2 linked regions of the Tamandua tetradactyla genome follow. The protein of the gene in region 2 purifies or fractionates together with the protein of the main gene of each other region. This does not show direct contact. Links are inferred from orthologs where the notes say so. Each region holds a gene or a part of one and is shown on either strand. Other genes may lie near its edges.

Region 1 (7,651 bases), on a different chromosome or scaffold from region 2:
ATATTCTTGGTTTACGCACATTCAGTTTTAGTCTAAAATATGTGACGATCTTGTCAGGAAGGTTATTTTTTAGGACAGGTTTCTTCCTTTAAAATGAAGTACATTTTTGTTGATACATACAAAAATCAACACCTTCAATAAGGACTTTACTTGAAACTGTGGTCTCAAGTCTAAATTTTGGATGAGAAACAAATCTATCCAAAGGACAGTTCTGAATCCTTATTGTAATGGGTCACAGACTCAGAACTTGGGAGCTAGAAAGGATCTCGAAAGCCATCTAGTCCAAATTCTTCATTTTAGGAATACTGAAACAAAGGCCTTTTGAAAGAAATCTATATTCAATCTAAACTACTACATACCCAATCCAGAAACACTTAAATTATTTTTCAAATGATCACTTTAAATAGATAATCTAACATTTCTAACATTTCAGTGACAAACAGAGCATGGTATCCATTTCTGAAGCACTATAAGAAAATGCAGGACCATTATCAGCTGAAAGCTTGACTCTTATAAAAGAAAGCTATAAAACAGTATTCTTACCTACATGAACTTAAACTCAAAAAGTTGCCATTTCTTTCTCGAATTAACTGACATTCATTTGGGTCAACTACCAGCGCAGCTTCACTTCATCACGTGATTGAATTCAAGTTCATATCAGGGAAAAGGCTGTTACTGTACTTTATTTAGAACACATATCACTGAGAACAGCCAAAAAAGTCTTTGTAGGCCCATCCAAAAACCTTGCTTTTGTTGCTAAGAAACTACAATTTCCCCGTATTACAAATCTTTGAAAAAGACCATGCCAACACAGAGATTAACACGTTACGATAAGAACTCACACCTATTGTGCAAAATGAAAGCATGCCATTCCACAAATCAAATAGGTAAAATTAGTTTTAGGTTTCTTTAAGTTATATTGTTAACACAGACTAAAACTGACAGGACAAATCAGACTAACTCTATGGAGGAAATCAGGAAAACTATCCAATATACTTAGCATATGCAATGCAACAGACAGAAAAATGTTTCCTTCCTGACCCCTGCAGTGATAATCCAAGGCCATGAAGCATACATAAGATTTGCTGAGTTCTATTTGGTACAATTCGGTAGAGTTCGGTAAATAAATCTATATTTAACCAAAAGATGCCTTTCCAATCCCTTATTGATTTATTTTCATCGTAATCCAGCACTTTAAGCCCAATTTCTTCTTAGAATACTCAACTCCAAAAGCTCTATCACTGACTTTTTAAAGAAAATGTCATTTAAATTTCAGCTATTCTAACATAGTAACTTTAAATTGTTCTAGCAAACAATAAACATTGAAGGATTAGCAAAAATGTATGGTTCACTCTGCAGTATTGACTTCTAATACATTCTTTCGCAAAAAAATATTTTCATAACATCTTAGTTTAAAAACTGTTTCCACAAGAGCAGAAACAAGTTCCTGATGCTTCTGTCCCATCTCTGAAAGATTAACTCCGCAGCTGAATTTTAACACACGCCTTCAAGCAGAATCTGTTTTGTCTACATCCCCCACCATCATGATTCGCCACCATTTCTCCATCTTCTCCAAGAGGCTTCAGACTTCAAAACCAATCCTCTTGTTTCCACCGTATCCTACAAACATCTCAGGGACTACTTTCATGTTCCTCAGAAATAATATCTTCTGTCCTGAACCTTGTAGATCTTAAAAACCCACTTCCTCCAGCTCCCTTCCAGTTACTGCTTTCAATCCCACTACTGCAGTTGCAGCTATGAGGCCCTGCCTTCCCAAGGGCCCAACCAATATCACACAGCAGTTGCCACAACCCAACTCCTCCCTTCCCTAATGTTATTCTCCACCCTGCAAACTTAACATTACACCCCCAGCTTCCTGGATTTTACTCCCTTCCCCTATTTTTTTTTTCTCTCCCCCGCCCCATTTCTGTAACCAGGCACCCCTAGCTCTCTAATAAATATTCCCCCCTTCTTCAGTTTCAACCCTTTCTCCCCATCCTCTGCTCATTTTTCCTCTCCTTATTTAGAAACCCCTTTTTGCTCTCCCAACCACTACCCTAGAATGCCCAGCACTCCACCCTCCTTAGCAAACCCAGCCCTCCCCCACCCATCTCGTTTAGAACCACGGCTGCTCTTTCCAGGTTCCCTACTGCAGTCAACCCATTCCCTTAGCTTTCCACCCACTTTCCCTCCGCCCCCACATCCAAGGTCCCCGAATCTCTACTCCCTCCTTAGGGCTCAAGTACTCTGCTCCCCACCGGTATTCTTCAGAACTCCCTTCCCCTAATTCCTCCTTTATTTTTAAGATGTCACCAGTCTTACGGAGCGGAGCCCCAGTAGATCCCTAGGCGAGCCGGACCGAGAGCCCACCCCATCCTTCGTCACCTAAAATACAAACGCCTATATTCTGAAGCCTTCTTTAGAAGCTGTGCCCCATCCTCATTCGCCCCCACTACTCCGGCTCCTCACAGGCTTCTTCCGGGTCCTTTTCCCGACCCAGAACGCGGAGCCCCACGACGGAGAGCCTCTAAGTCAGCAACTAGGCTCACATCGGCCGCCCCCTCCTCTCGGACAGGAGCCTCCTGTCCACACACCCGTGCCTCTTCAACACCCCGACCGTCATCTCCTCTTCTCCGACCCGCAGTCCCTAAGGCTCCGACCGCCCCCCACTCCACCCCCTTGCCCTCGTTCCAGCACTTTCGCGGATCCCGGATCGGCTCCTCTCCGGCCGCCGGCGCCCATCAGCCCCCGCCCGGCCCGCCCCCGGCGCCCAGCTCACCATTCTGAGCGGCGCCTGGCCCTGGGAGGAGGGAGCCAGACACCAGCAACAGCGAGAGGGCCAGGGCACTGGAGGGCGAAGAGCCCGACATCCTCCCTAGCAGAAGACCAAAGAGCGAATGGGTCCGGGCCGGAGCCTGGGCCGGGGAGGGGAGGGGAGGGAGGGAGGGGGCGGGCGAGTGCGCGAGAGAGTGAGCGAGGGAGGCAGAGGTGGCTGGGCTCCGTCCTTCCCCGTCCTCCTCCTACCGCCGCAGCGCCCAAGCCTCGCGAGACCTTCGTGCCGGGCCGTGGGCGGATGTAGAGCGACGGCGCCAAGGCTCGCGAGATGAGACGGCCTAGACTAACACTGGGACATCGCGTCCCCGCCTCTGCAGAGGCTGATTGGCCTAGCCTGAGGTAAGTCACGTGTCAAAGGTGCTTCTGGCCACGTGATGGGGGGAGGCTGGTGGCGCCGGCTCTCATTGACACCGGGGAGCGGATAAGTTTGCGTTCAGTTTACCCCTCTGTGAAACGGGATCGCACATAAATAAAACAAAGCTTTGGGAACATGATATATTTCCTCCACACATCCTGCCTTCCTTTTGTTAGAGCACTTGGCTGCAAAATTTGATACACCGCCGCCTCTTTTATGCCTTCCTCTCATTGTCCCTTACTATTTCTGGCCACAGGCCCCTACGAGCATCTGGCCCCAACCTCCCTTTCTCATCTCATATTTTTCCCCTTCAGGCAGAGTGATGCACTCCCTGTGCCTGTTATTACCTTGTACTAACTGCCTTCACATCTTCTGCCTGAAACGTCCTCATTTTCTGCTCCTCCCCTTTGCTCCTCCATTTTGGCCTTATTTTAGCTTTAAATAATCTCAGGGTCCGACGCCTTGACAGTTCAACTCGCCTAATTGCACGTCCTTAGACACTAAATTCTACAAGGAAGTTATCATACATCAACTTATGTAAAGGATCTTCAGAAGCATTTTAATGCAAAGGACGTTTATTGGGTGGAACGCAAATGAAAAGATGGTCCCTGCCCTCAGTTCACAGCCTAGTCTATCAAAGGAGTGCGGGAAGGGGAAATGACAGCAGTATTCAGCAAAACGACCCATTGGAAAGGAGCCAGCAAAGCATTCTGGAAGTTGATTGCCAATGCAGTCACTACTCTTTGCTCCATAGTTTGGAAAATGTTCTTCATGTGGTTATTTCTTGTTCTACCCTCAGCGCTGTCAACCCTTAGTTGGCAAGGGAGTTTCTGTGGCGTAGCTCATCCCTGACTCAGCAGGCATACTAGGGAGTGTCTAAGGAGTGAAGACTATGAGGAGCCAAGTAAGCAGCCCTAGTGATCTGACTTGATTCTGTGAAAGAGCTTGGAGAACCTGGAGGAAGGAGTGCTCACCCCACCCATGCAGTCTCTCTCAGGCAAAAGTGGTCTCAGCTTTCAACAGGAACTGGACAGCTGGCAGTGGCAGCTTTGTAGCAAGAGCCGGAAACTACAATGATGTGTTGTTGATTGAAGTGAAAACTATATATTCTTCAAAACACTCAATGGCAAAAAAAGTTGGCATGTATTTCTGTCTGGACAAAGGTGTGCTACAGATACCCCAGTAAGAGGGGTTTCAGGGCTGCCTCGGTGGGACCAAGATTTTCATCTGACAGAAGTTTTGGTTGGATGCAACCATTCTGCTTCATAATAACCATAGAAACATCCTTATTTGATCCTTACAACAAGTGTAGGGATAAGCAAAGCAGTGATAATTATGCTTAATTTGTCGGTAAGAACATTGGAGTTGAGAGAGGACATGGTCTGCTCAGAATCTCAGAGTGTTTGTGGTAATCATTAATGCCAAATTGTCTGGTTCCTCCTTCTAAGCTCATGGTAGGATTGTATTTCTCTGCCGCCTTAAAGTTGGGAGTGGCATGTGACTTGCTTCAATCAGTGAAATGTGAGAAGTGACCCTTATAAGCAGGAGTATTTCATTTCCAGTGCAGTCGCTGCAGCATGCTCTTTTGACTGCTTGGTAATCAATGGTCATGATGGTGAAAGTATGTATCAAAATGAAGCTTCTGTCAAAAAAAAAAAAAATGAAGTTTATGTCAGCCTGGGTCTCTGAGTTAGCATAATGAGCTGAGCCCCCGTACCAGCTCATGCTGAGCAGGTAGCATGTGTCATGATAAGCTACTAAGATTTAGGGGTGTTTGTTCTTATTTCATAACCTGAACAATTCTGGTTAGAGGAAAGATAGCAGTCAAGCCAATGCCACCAATGCTTTGTGATCTTGAGCAAATAACCCAATACCTCTGGACCTAATTTACTCATCTATCGAATGGGCTAATAATAGTACCTACGTCATAGGATTAAAAATGGAATAAATGAGTAAGTTTATATACAATGTTTGGAACAGTTTCTGGTGCATAGTAATTGTTCAAATGTTGTTATTGATGATGATGATGATGATGATGATGATGATAAATACTATATTATTGCTGCTGCTGTTGTAGTTCTAACTCCAGCCCTGTATTCATACAACTAGCTCAGTCTTCTTCTAAAAATAGATTTAGAAGGAATATTTTTAAGCCAGGTGTCATCAGTCAACCCTGAAACTTGCAGTTACAGGAAGACTTTATGTTTTACCCATGGAAATATATCTCACATAATAGCAGCTGTACTTTTAGTTCCCTTTTGTTGAGAAAATACATGATTGACTAAAATCTTGCAGTAATTCAATAATTTCTTTAAAGGAATTTGGATTTTTAAAAATTACATACATTTAAAAATTTCTCTACAAGTTAAGTGCAGCCATGCTAGATGGCTGAACTCTTTGTAATACCTCAGAGAAGCCCTAGGGGTCCTCAGTGCTCAGGCCTCACCCACTTTCCTGGCCTCTTGGGACTGCTTAGAGGTCTGGTTTCCAGCAGTGATACTGCCCCCTGGTGGGAAGGTCTTTAATAGCGCATTCCCAGTGGAAAGTATTCAAGGTTGGTTTGATGTGGTTCATCAAGCCATTGGAAGGACATCAGTCAAAATGATAATAGTGTCAGTAGAGTTGGCCTTGAACTTCCTGATGTTTCCCCCTGTCTCCTGCAAAGATTCCTGCTTCTTTGAAGCTCTTGTCCTTCAGATATACCATCCAAACCATCTTGATTTTTGTCATCTTCTGGCTTCCCAGCCACTATAATTGTTTCCCTGCCTCTCCCAACTCCTTAGCACCATCCTTGAACTCAACACATGAATTCAACATCCATGTTGATGACCTATTCAGTATTCTGGACTCTCAATCCCTTGGCCTTCTCATTTCCAATAACCTTCTCCTCAACTGAGCCACCACTTACAAGGTTGCACCCTTCAACATTTGAATCACCAAAAAACAAAAAACAAACAAAAAAAAAAACTTTCTGTCCTTGAAATGTGAAAATATAATACCTCACTCTCCATCTTCCACTTCCTGTTCTTTCAGGTCCTTGCATCAGGACCCCATCGGCTGAAATTTCCAACCTCATTGAAATCTTCAATCCATTAATCCCATCAATTTCTCATTATCTGTTTTTCTGTTTCCCTCCTGGTCTTATAGTGCATGATTCATCGTTACAATCATTTCCTTTCCCACCTCAATCTCTGCCGTCCTTTCCTGAATAAACCACAACCTGGCTGAGACTACAGTCTGAAAAAAGAATGCATGCCTGCACCTGAGCAGCTAAATGTTGCCGGAAAAAAATCATACAAGCAGGCTGAATGGCTTATAATTTTAAATTCATGATCTCAAACCTCAGATGGTTACTCAACACTGCCCAGCACTCTTACTTTCTTATGTGGTAAGCATGTAAGAAATGCCTCATTGCTTTTATTTCTCTAACTCAGATTTAATCTATTTTGAGCTCCTTTTGACTAAGATGACAAGAAATTCAATTTTGATGATTATGAGCCTCCCTCCCCACTTCCTAGGATAATTAAATCTCCTGGGGGCTATGTAGCCCAGGATATTGTTATTATTTATAATTATGATTATGATTATGATTTTGGTCTGGCTCTCTCCTCAGTTCACAATGGTTACTACTGGTGTTTCCATTGCCCAGATCCACACAAAGGTGAATGGTTTGGTGCTTCTCACTGATTCCCTCACCAACCTTAATGTGGATGACTCTCCTTTTCAGTCTGTTGTGATTGCTCCATTACTTCTTACCTTCTTTGCACATTCTCTTCTCTTTGTCCAGAATGCTTAACATCCTATCGTCTTCACCTGGTCTTCTCATCCTTCAGATGTCAGAATTAAATCATCCCTCTTTAAAATACAAATTAAAATCACAATGAGATATCATTTCACCCACAGGCATTTAATTTGATAAAATTAAAAAGAATGACAATACCAAATGTTGGTGATAATGTGAAGTGACTGGAACTCTGATATACTGCTGACAGGTGTATAAAAATGATAAAGCTACTCTGAAGAACTGTTTGTCAGTTTCTTATAGTTGAATATACATCTAACCAATGACCCAGGAATTCTACCCTTGTATCCCCAGTGCCCAAGAGAAATGAAAACATATGTTCACTCAATGATTTGTACAAGAATGCTCTTACTGCTTTATTCATAATAGTCAAAACAGAAAACAATGCAAATATCCATTAACAGGTGAATGGAAAAACTGTGATATATTTATACAATGGAATGCTACTTGGTAATTTAAAAAGATGAACTACTTATAAATGCAACGACATGGATGAATCTCCACCAGAACGCTGAGCAGAAGAAGTGAGGCAGAAAAAAGAGTATATAAAGTATGAATCTATTTATATAAAGTTCTAGAATAGGCAAAACTAATCTTTAGTGATGGAAATCAAATCAATGGGGAGAAAATTGACTGGAAAGGGGCAAAAGGGATCCTTC
Region 2 (6,864 bases):
AGTACCCGCACATGGTAGGCCTTACAAATACGTTTAAAAAAATAACACCTTCTGTAAGTGGTTAATTCTTCTATGAACATGTCTGTGCCCCGCCCCTCCAACTAGGCTATAAGCTCTATTTTTCTCTGCACTTCGTGTGGGCCCAGCCAAGGTGGAAACAGTAGACATTTGATGAATGCATACTGAATTAAATAGGTATGCAGTAATACTTGTTGAATGAATAAACTAAACTTCTAAAATAAATACTAAAGTGGGTGTGCCAACTCAAAAAGAGGAGGTAATGGTGACATTTCTGCTTTACTTAGTACAAGTGACCCCAAAAAAACAATTTAATCCAGTTTATGCTTGCATAGTGAGTCATGTAACCAATTCACAGGAAGGGCAAGGGTACAGTAGGATATCAGGAACAATTTGAACCCAGATTCAATTTCTGCCAAGGCTCTTCAGCTGTCTTCTCTGTCTCTCTCTGCCTTTAAGCATCATTCTTTCCTACTGCTGGATGTCTTCTTTCACATGACAGGGCACACGGCCATAACTTCACTTCTCGCAGTGCTCACTTTTGGAGGGCTCCAACCAAGCCTTGCTCTCTCTTTGGTATTAAGTTAAAAAATTTCAGGAAAAAAATTGTTCTTGGTTAGGGTCAGGCAAAGTGTGATCTCTAATAAAATAGCAATTCCCATGTTATCAGATTAGAAAGAGCAACTAAAGAACTGGGTAGGGGTGTGGGGAGGGTGGTTGCCGTTCTGGCCAGACAGAACAACAGACACCCACAATAGGGAGTAATGTCATTTGCATTCAGGGAAGGTGGGCCATGGGACTTAGCAGAAATGGCCCAGCAGTATCTTGAGCCCTGCTCTGGGGAGGCTCTGAATCTGGCTGAGGACAGCTGGCTAAGTTAAAGAAGCAGAGTACCTGTTAAGTCAAGAGGACTTTGACAGCACTAAGAGACAAGTAGGGCTGCTGGTGGGCTGCGGAGTGCCCAGCCAGAAGCAAGCCAGCAATGAACTTCTGATGCCAGAGGCAGTGCCTTCCCTCTGGGGAGACAGCTCTACTTTCCCACAGTTAGTGCTTATATTATATTTACGGATAGGTTTATTTTTACCCATTCCAGACCTCAAGCCCCAAACCTACTGCTGGAAGAAACAGGCACTGAGGCTTCTGGGTTTCCAAAAAGCACAGGCTTCAGTGTCTGGCCCAGTGCCAGAGACCCAGCTGCGGTTAGTCCTGTAGTCATCTAGACCGACCCACCTCTCACATCGCTCTCTCCTGTCTACAAGGGAGGTAGGGATGGAGGTGAAGGAAATTGTCCTTTGCCCATCCCACAATCACCCCGCCAGTGAAAGGTTAGCACTGGGCTCTGAGAGGAGGGCCCTGACAGTTACGGTAGAAGTCATATCCTGGCCTGCCCATGAACTGTGGCCGGCAGGAGGGGGAAACACGTCAAAGCCCTCTTGCAACAGCTTCTCCCCTGCAGGGCTGGTTCCCTAGAACCAAGGGACAAAGGAGAGGATTTTGTCTTTCAAATCAGCAGCTAGGAACTGGCATAAGTTTTTAGCCCCCATATGCCAGGCAGCCAAAATAGACTTCTCCTTTAGTGGGACCACACATCTGGCCTAAATTGTTATTCCTCCAAGACAATTTATCGAACAGTTAGGCACTGTATTCATGCACAGCCACTGCAGACAAGCTTAAAATATACGTTAAGACATTAGAGCCATTTCAGAGACTGGCTTTCTCATGATAAAGATGCAACTGACATTCATCAGGTACTAAAATGTCAAGTTGTTGCAATCCAGTAGGAAGCCCAACAAGCCATTAAATTTGAAGTTCTGTTCGACTGATTCCTTTCCGTTCATTCCAATGCTTCCCCAACAGCTGATTTTGACTTCTGAAGCTGACATTTTGGTAGAACCTAACAAAATCTCACAGGGCCCCCTGTCTTTCTGAGCCATCATTAAAATGGGGAGAACTCCTAAGGCCAGAGACCAAGCTCTTGAAATGCCCGAGGGATTGGACCAAAGAATTTGAGAGAGGAGTGGTGCAAATGAGAACAAACCTTTCATGTCCCCCAAGTTTCTGGGTGAGGACTTCAAACCCCCTAAGGAGGATTACTTGGAGAATAATTCATGGATGAATCCCATCCCCTCCACCCCTACCTTCCTTCATCAGGACTGGGCTGGGGAAGAGAGACAAGCCCAGGCAGGAGCTTATTTTAGTTCTGCTTCCCAAGGTATTGATTCAGGCAATCTCAAGTACCACATTAGGGAGCTCAGGTCTGAGCTTGGCACAACCAGGCTAAAAAAATTAGTTTTTTTTTTTTTTCTTTTTTCTTTTTGGTCTGTTTAACTTGCCTTAGCTCAGAAATAGGATGTGGACGAGTTATTGAGAAATAGTAGGATAGAAGATAAAGAGAGGAAAGAAAGGCCTCAAATGTTAGGTAATCAGGAAGGCTGCTAATGGGCATAGGGTATCCAGACCACTGGATGGTATTCACAGCTCTTTTTCTCCATGTGCAAAATGAACCCTCCAGAAGGTTCTGTGTTCTGGGGAAGCAAAGGAGGACAGGTGTGGTGGTGGTGTTGGGTTAGGATCAGAGAGGCCTTTTCCCAAACCCCTGTTAAGAAGGTTGGGAAATTGTGGTTGGTCACCTTCTTCACAGCAGAATTGGCAGCTATAAGCTATGTCATGTATGCTTAACTGCCTCCCATAAGCACATAAATAGGATTGCATGTGTGTGCCGTGGTGGGTGTGGGAATATATCAGTCAATGAAGATGCATTGTGTGAACCAGTTGATGGTGCGTGTTTATACTTGAAAGCTGTAAGGTTCTATGCAAAATCTATGGGTGGCACTGTTGCACAATGCTGGTGGGTGTGTGGCTGCGGGGGTGTGATTAACAGTTTATTGGCTGTGTAGAAGTGTGCATGGACAACTGCAAATTAAAGCGTGTATGCATGTGCATGGAGTGTGTGCAAATTAAAAGGGAAATGTATGCCAGACTATGATACAAGTGCTAGAAAACACTTGGGCTTTGGAGTCAACCTGACTTGGCCTTGAATCCTGGCTCTATCATTAACCAGAAGCATAACCTTGGAAAAATCACAGGATCTTCAGTTGCCTTGCCTATGAAATGAGGATAATAGTAAGTACCTTTCAAGATTGCCTTGAGAATTAGGAATAATACCTTGAATGCAAAGTTTCTGGGGTCAGAGCTGTCAAGTAGCAGGATTCAAGAATAGGTAGCTATCATGTACTGTGTATGCACCTCTGGTAGGTGCAGAGGCAGTTGGGAGGAAAATGTGCCCCAGAAATGTGTGTGTGAAATCTGGGTGAGGAAGTGCATACTAAAAGTTGGGTGTACAAAACTGTATTATGTTTGCATGTATCCAAACATTCCTTCTCCTTTCCCATTGAGCCCCATATCCAGACAGGGGCAGTAGGGTGGGAGCGGATGGTACAAGTCTCTGTAGGCCCCTTGGGTTTCGGAGTTTCTGGGTCCTGGGTCTAACCAAGTAAGAGGTTGAGAAGCTGGTAGGAGCAGCAGGAAGCCAAACGTCTGCAGATGCTTCCTTTTTTTTCCCTCCACCCAGCAACGGTTGAATAGCCACCCACATTCTCTCCGCTTCCCCCCCCCCCCCCACCTCCGCTTTCCTTTCAACAAGTGAGAGCAAGGGTGGGAGGAAACTCGAGGGAGGAGAGGATTCCTTCCCTTTCTTTCCCCATTCCCCCTTAAGACAAACCAGGAAGCAGCTGCAGCTCAGAACCAGGCCACCTTAACAGTAGAGTAATGGTCTGGCCTCTCGCCAAGTCCCACCTCTGTTCCAGCCTCTGCTCCTCCCCCTTCTCCTCCCTCGCTGCTCCCGGAGAGCTGGTGAGCAAGAGTCTGGACGGAGTTGGCAGGAGCTGTTGCCATGACACGCATTTTCTTAAGAAAGCTCTGCTGTTGAGACCATCCAAAGCTGGGTGGTGGTGGTGGTGGTGGGGCCCGAACTTCCTGGGGAACCATCCGTCCAAGGAGGGCAAGAGCAGACACCCGCCCAGCTCCCCAGCACCCGTTTTCTTCCAGGAATCTGAGAGGTCCTTCCCCTAGGCAGGGCCGGGGGAGGAGACCCAGCCCACTACCCGGCCCCGGTAGGGAAGGCGAGAAAGCAAAGCCAGCATCTCTAGGCTGGTTGCCAATTTGGGGAGGCCGGTGGGTGGTCACCTCCATCGTACCCCCGTCCATGGAAACCTGGAGGGAGAGTCTCGCTTGGAGAAACCTGGATCGTTGCTAGAAAGAGAGGTAGGCTTGCAGAGAATGAATTGACTGGTGACTTGTAAACTTTGTTTCTTTCCTCTCAATCTTTTAAAAAACTCCCTGAATTTCCTCTCCATAGTGTATTTTATGTGATTGGATTTGGAGATCTTGGAGTATTTGTGTAATGTGTTTGTGTGTGTGCACAGATTTGCTAAATATTTGTTTCCTAGACTTGGTTTGGGGAATCTATATAATCAAACAAGTGATTTTCTTTTTCTAGTTTTTGTCATTCCTGGACTGTGGGGGTAGGGAAATGGAGGGAACGTCTTTTCATACCCAAATTGAGCTCTTGGAAAAAGCATTTATTTTCTCCATCCATTCTTGCCTCCCCCCTCCCCCCTTGGCTTGGGAATGAGACGCAGAATGGAAAACTGTTGCAAAAATATTTTCCATGTCTGTTCCCTGTTCCCTTTCTCGAAAGCCCCAAAGAGAGATGGAAAAAAAAAAATGCAGAAGATTTTCAGCAGAAGGAGGAGCTGCAGTGGGGACCTGGAAAGGGGCATACTGGTGGGGGTGGGTGGGTGGGAGGTGGGGGCTAGGAGAAGTTGGGGTGGGGGGAGATAGAAAATGCACAAATTAAATTTGTTTGACTTTGCAGAGAAACCTCAGCAGTTTCTCTCTGCCTCTTGCAAAACATCCTTAGACTTCAAGTCTATAATTAGCTATGGAAAAAGCTGGGAGTTCCCTCGTACTGCTGTTGTTTGACTGTGTGTGAGCATCAGGAACCAACTGTGTGAGTGTCTCAGAAGGGCACCACCCCAAACAACTCAGTTCCCAAAGGGGAGAGAGGAGAAAGGGCTGAAGTTGTAAAGTTTGCTGTTTTAAGGCTGCTGATTGTGGGGCTGGTGAGTGTTGGGGGGTTGGGGGTTGGCAACAGGCGTCCTTGGGAGGGTCCCTGGAGCGTCATGGGCCGCTGCGTTTGTCTTGTTAAGGAACTAGAAATTAAGGCTGGGATTCTCCTTCCTGCTGTCCCTTCACACACACACACACTCACACACACTCACATACTTGGCTTGGGGTATGGGGGTCACTGGCATCCTCCCTGGGGTGAATCCAGTCCCATGCACTCCTCCTGCTGAGGAACCCCCGCTCCCCTCCAGCTGGGTATGGAGGGCACAGGAGGGGCTGCGGCCATCCTGGGAGTGGAGCGGGCACTCTGCTGGCCATAGGCGCCTCCCTCCTGGGCATTCCTGATAGGACTTACAATAACTTGCAGACATGATGCCAGCGCCTGCTGGCCTGGTCCGGGGAATGCCAGATGAAGAAATTAGGCGGGCACTCAACTGATGCTGGTGGGGGTGGGTGGTGGGTGGGAGGGGGGTGGTAAAATCCCATTCCACAGTGCCATCTCCAACCTAGGGTGGGGTGCCTGGCAGGGAGTCTTAAGATCCATTCCTCCGTCCCTCCGTGAGCCCCTCCTCGGAGCTGCCCTGTTCATGCCCTTCCTCATCTCTAGGCCCTGTTCTTGGAAGGAAGGGAAGATGTCAGGGGCATTCCAGGCTGGGACGGGCAGGGGAGGGAGGCCTGGGAGGAGGGAGGGCCCGGGTGGGGAGGCCTTAGGAGGAGGAAAGCTGGAGGGGCGGGGTAGCTTGGACCGATCGAGAGCCGGCTTACCCTTCCTGGCTGAAGGTGGTGGCATCACGCAGCTGACTCTGGCGGGCTGGTGGCATGGTGGCAGCAGGGTAAAAGGGTGCTTTGCGGGGTGGGTCCTGGAACTGAAGCAGACGAGTATGTAAGAGGCAGGCTGAGGGGAAGAGAGGAGGAAACACCTGCCCTTGCCCCAGTCGGAGAAACTGGGGAAGAAAGAAGCAAAGATTTTGAGGAAAGCTTAAATGGGGGACAGGAGAGCAGCAGGAACCAGTTTTCATTTGGAGGTGTTGGATGATTGATCGGACTGCACCCCGGGGCCAGATGATCTACGCTGCCTTCATTCTGATCAAAAGATGAGTGAGGCCTTCCTTGGGGAGAGGGTAGGCGGGGAAATCCATTCTTTGCTCCTCCTAGGGAGCCCCGTCCAACCTGCCACCATCTTGCAAAGGTACAACCCTGAAATCATGCTGTTACACCCCCACTTCTCACCCCCCCCCCCCCCCGCCCGTGTGCGCCCATCTTGGGGATCCAGAATCGCACCAGTCTGCAGCCTGAAAACAATACTCTGACTTGGGAGGTTGGATTCTGGTAGGTTAGTGGGACTTCTGCCAGAACCCAGCCCTGTGGAACAGGTCCTGAGTTAGTGCCCTGGGTGGGGGGGCTGCAGTGGAATTTGTGCTCCGCAGCCCCAGCCCTTTTCACCAGTGACTCCAAGCAGGATCAATACTGCAGCAAAACTGCGTCCCCTCCCCTCTCTGCCTCCCGCCCCCGCGTCAGCCTCTCCCGCAGCTGGGCGCCACACTCCCTGGCTCTGCCTTCATCTAACATACTCTGTTGGAGAAGGTGCTGAGAGCTGCAGAGCTAAAGTGTCTTGCTTCTCAGGTGGCTCAGAGCCCACTCAGTCACTTCCATTCCCATTTGCCACCTCTGTCCTCGGATTCAAGGTCAAGTAGGAAGAAGTCCTGGTGGTCTGTCTTA

What was found.
Region 1: the proteins of ATP2B4 (region 2) and NPTN purify together in Homo sapiens (co-immunoprecipitation; 3 studies listed by BioGRID and IntAct, with this or other methods). This does not show direct contact. The link is inferred for Tamandua tetradactyla from reciprocal best matches to the Homo sapiens genes ATP2B4 and NPTN.

The regions. Positions count from the first base shown.
Region 1 is NC_135338.1:68,391,060-68,398,710, reverse strand, and holds the start of NPTN (neuroplastin), read right to left. Parts: upstream 3,018-7,651; 5' UTR 2,871-3,017; coding exon 2,780-2,870; intron 1-2,779. UniProt on the Homo sapiens protein: Probable homophilic and heterophilic cell adhesion molecule involved in long term potentiation at hippocampal excitatory synapses through activation of p38MAPK. May also regulate neurite outgrowth by activating the FGFR1 signaling pathway.
Region 2 is NC_135330.1:60,979,727-60,986,590, forward strand, and holds the start of ATP2B4 (plasma membrane calcium-transporting ATPase 4), read left to right. Parts: upstream 1-3,845; 5' UTR 3,846-4,281; intron 4,282-4,865; exon of another isoform or gene 4,866-5,141; intron 5,142-5,910; exon of another isoform or gene 5,911-6,011; intron 6,012-6,864. UniProt on the Homo sapiens protein: Calcium/calmodulin-regulated and magnesium-dependent enzyme that catalyzes the hydrolysis of ATP coupled with the transport of calcium out of the cell. By regulating sperm cell calcium homeostasis, may play a role in sperm motility.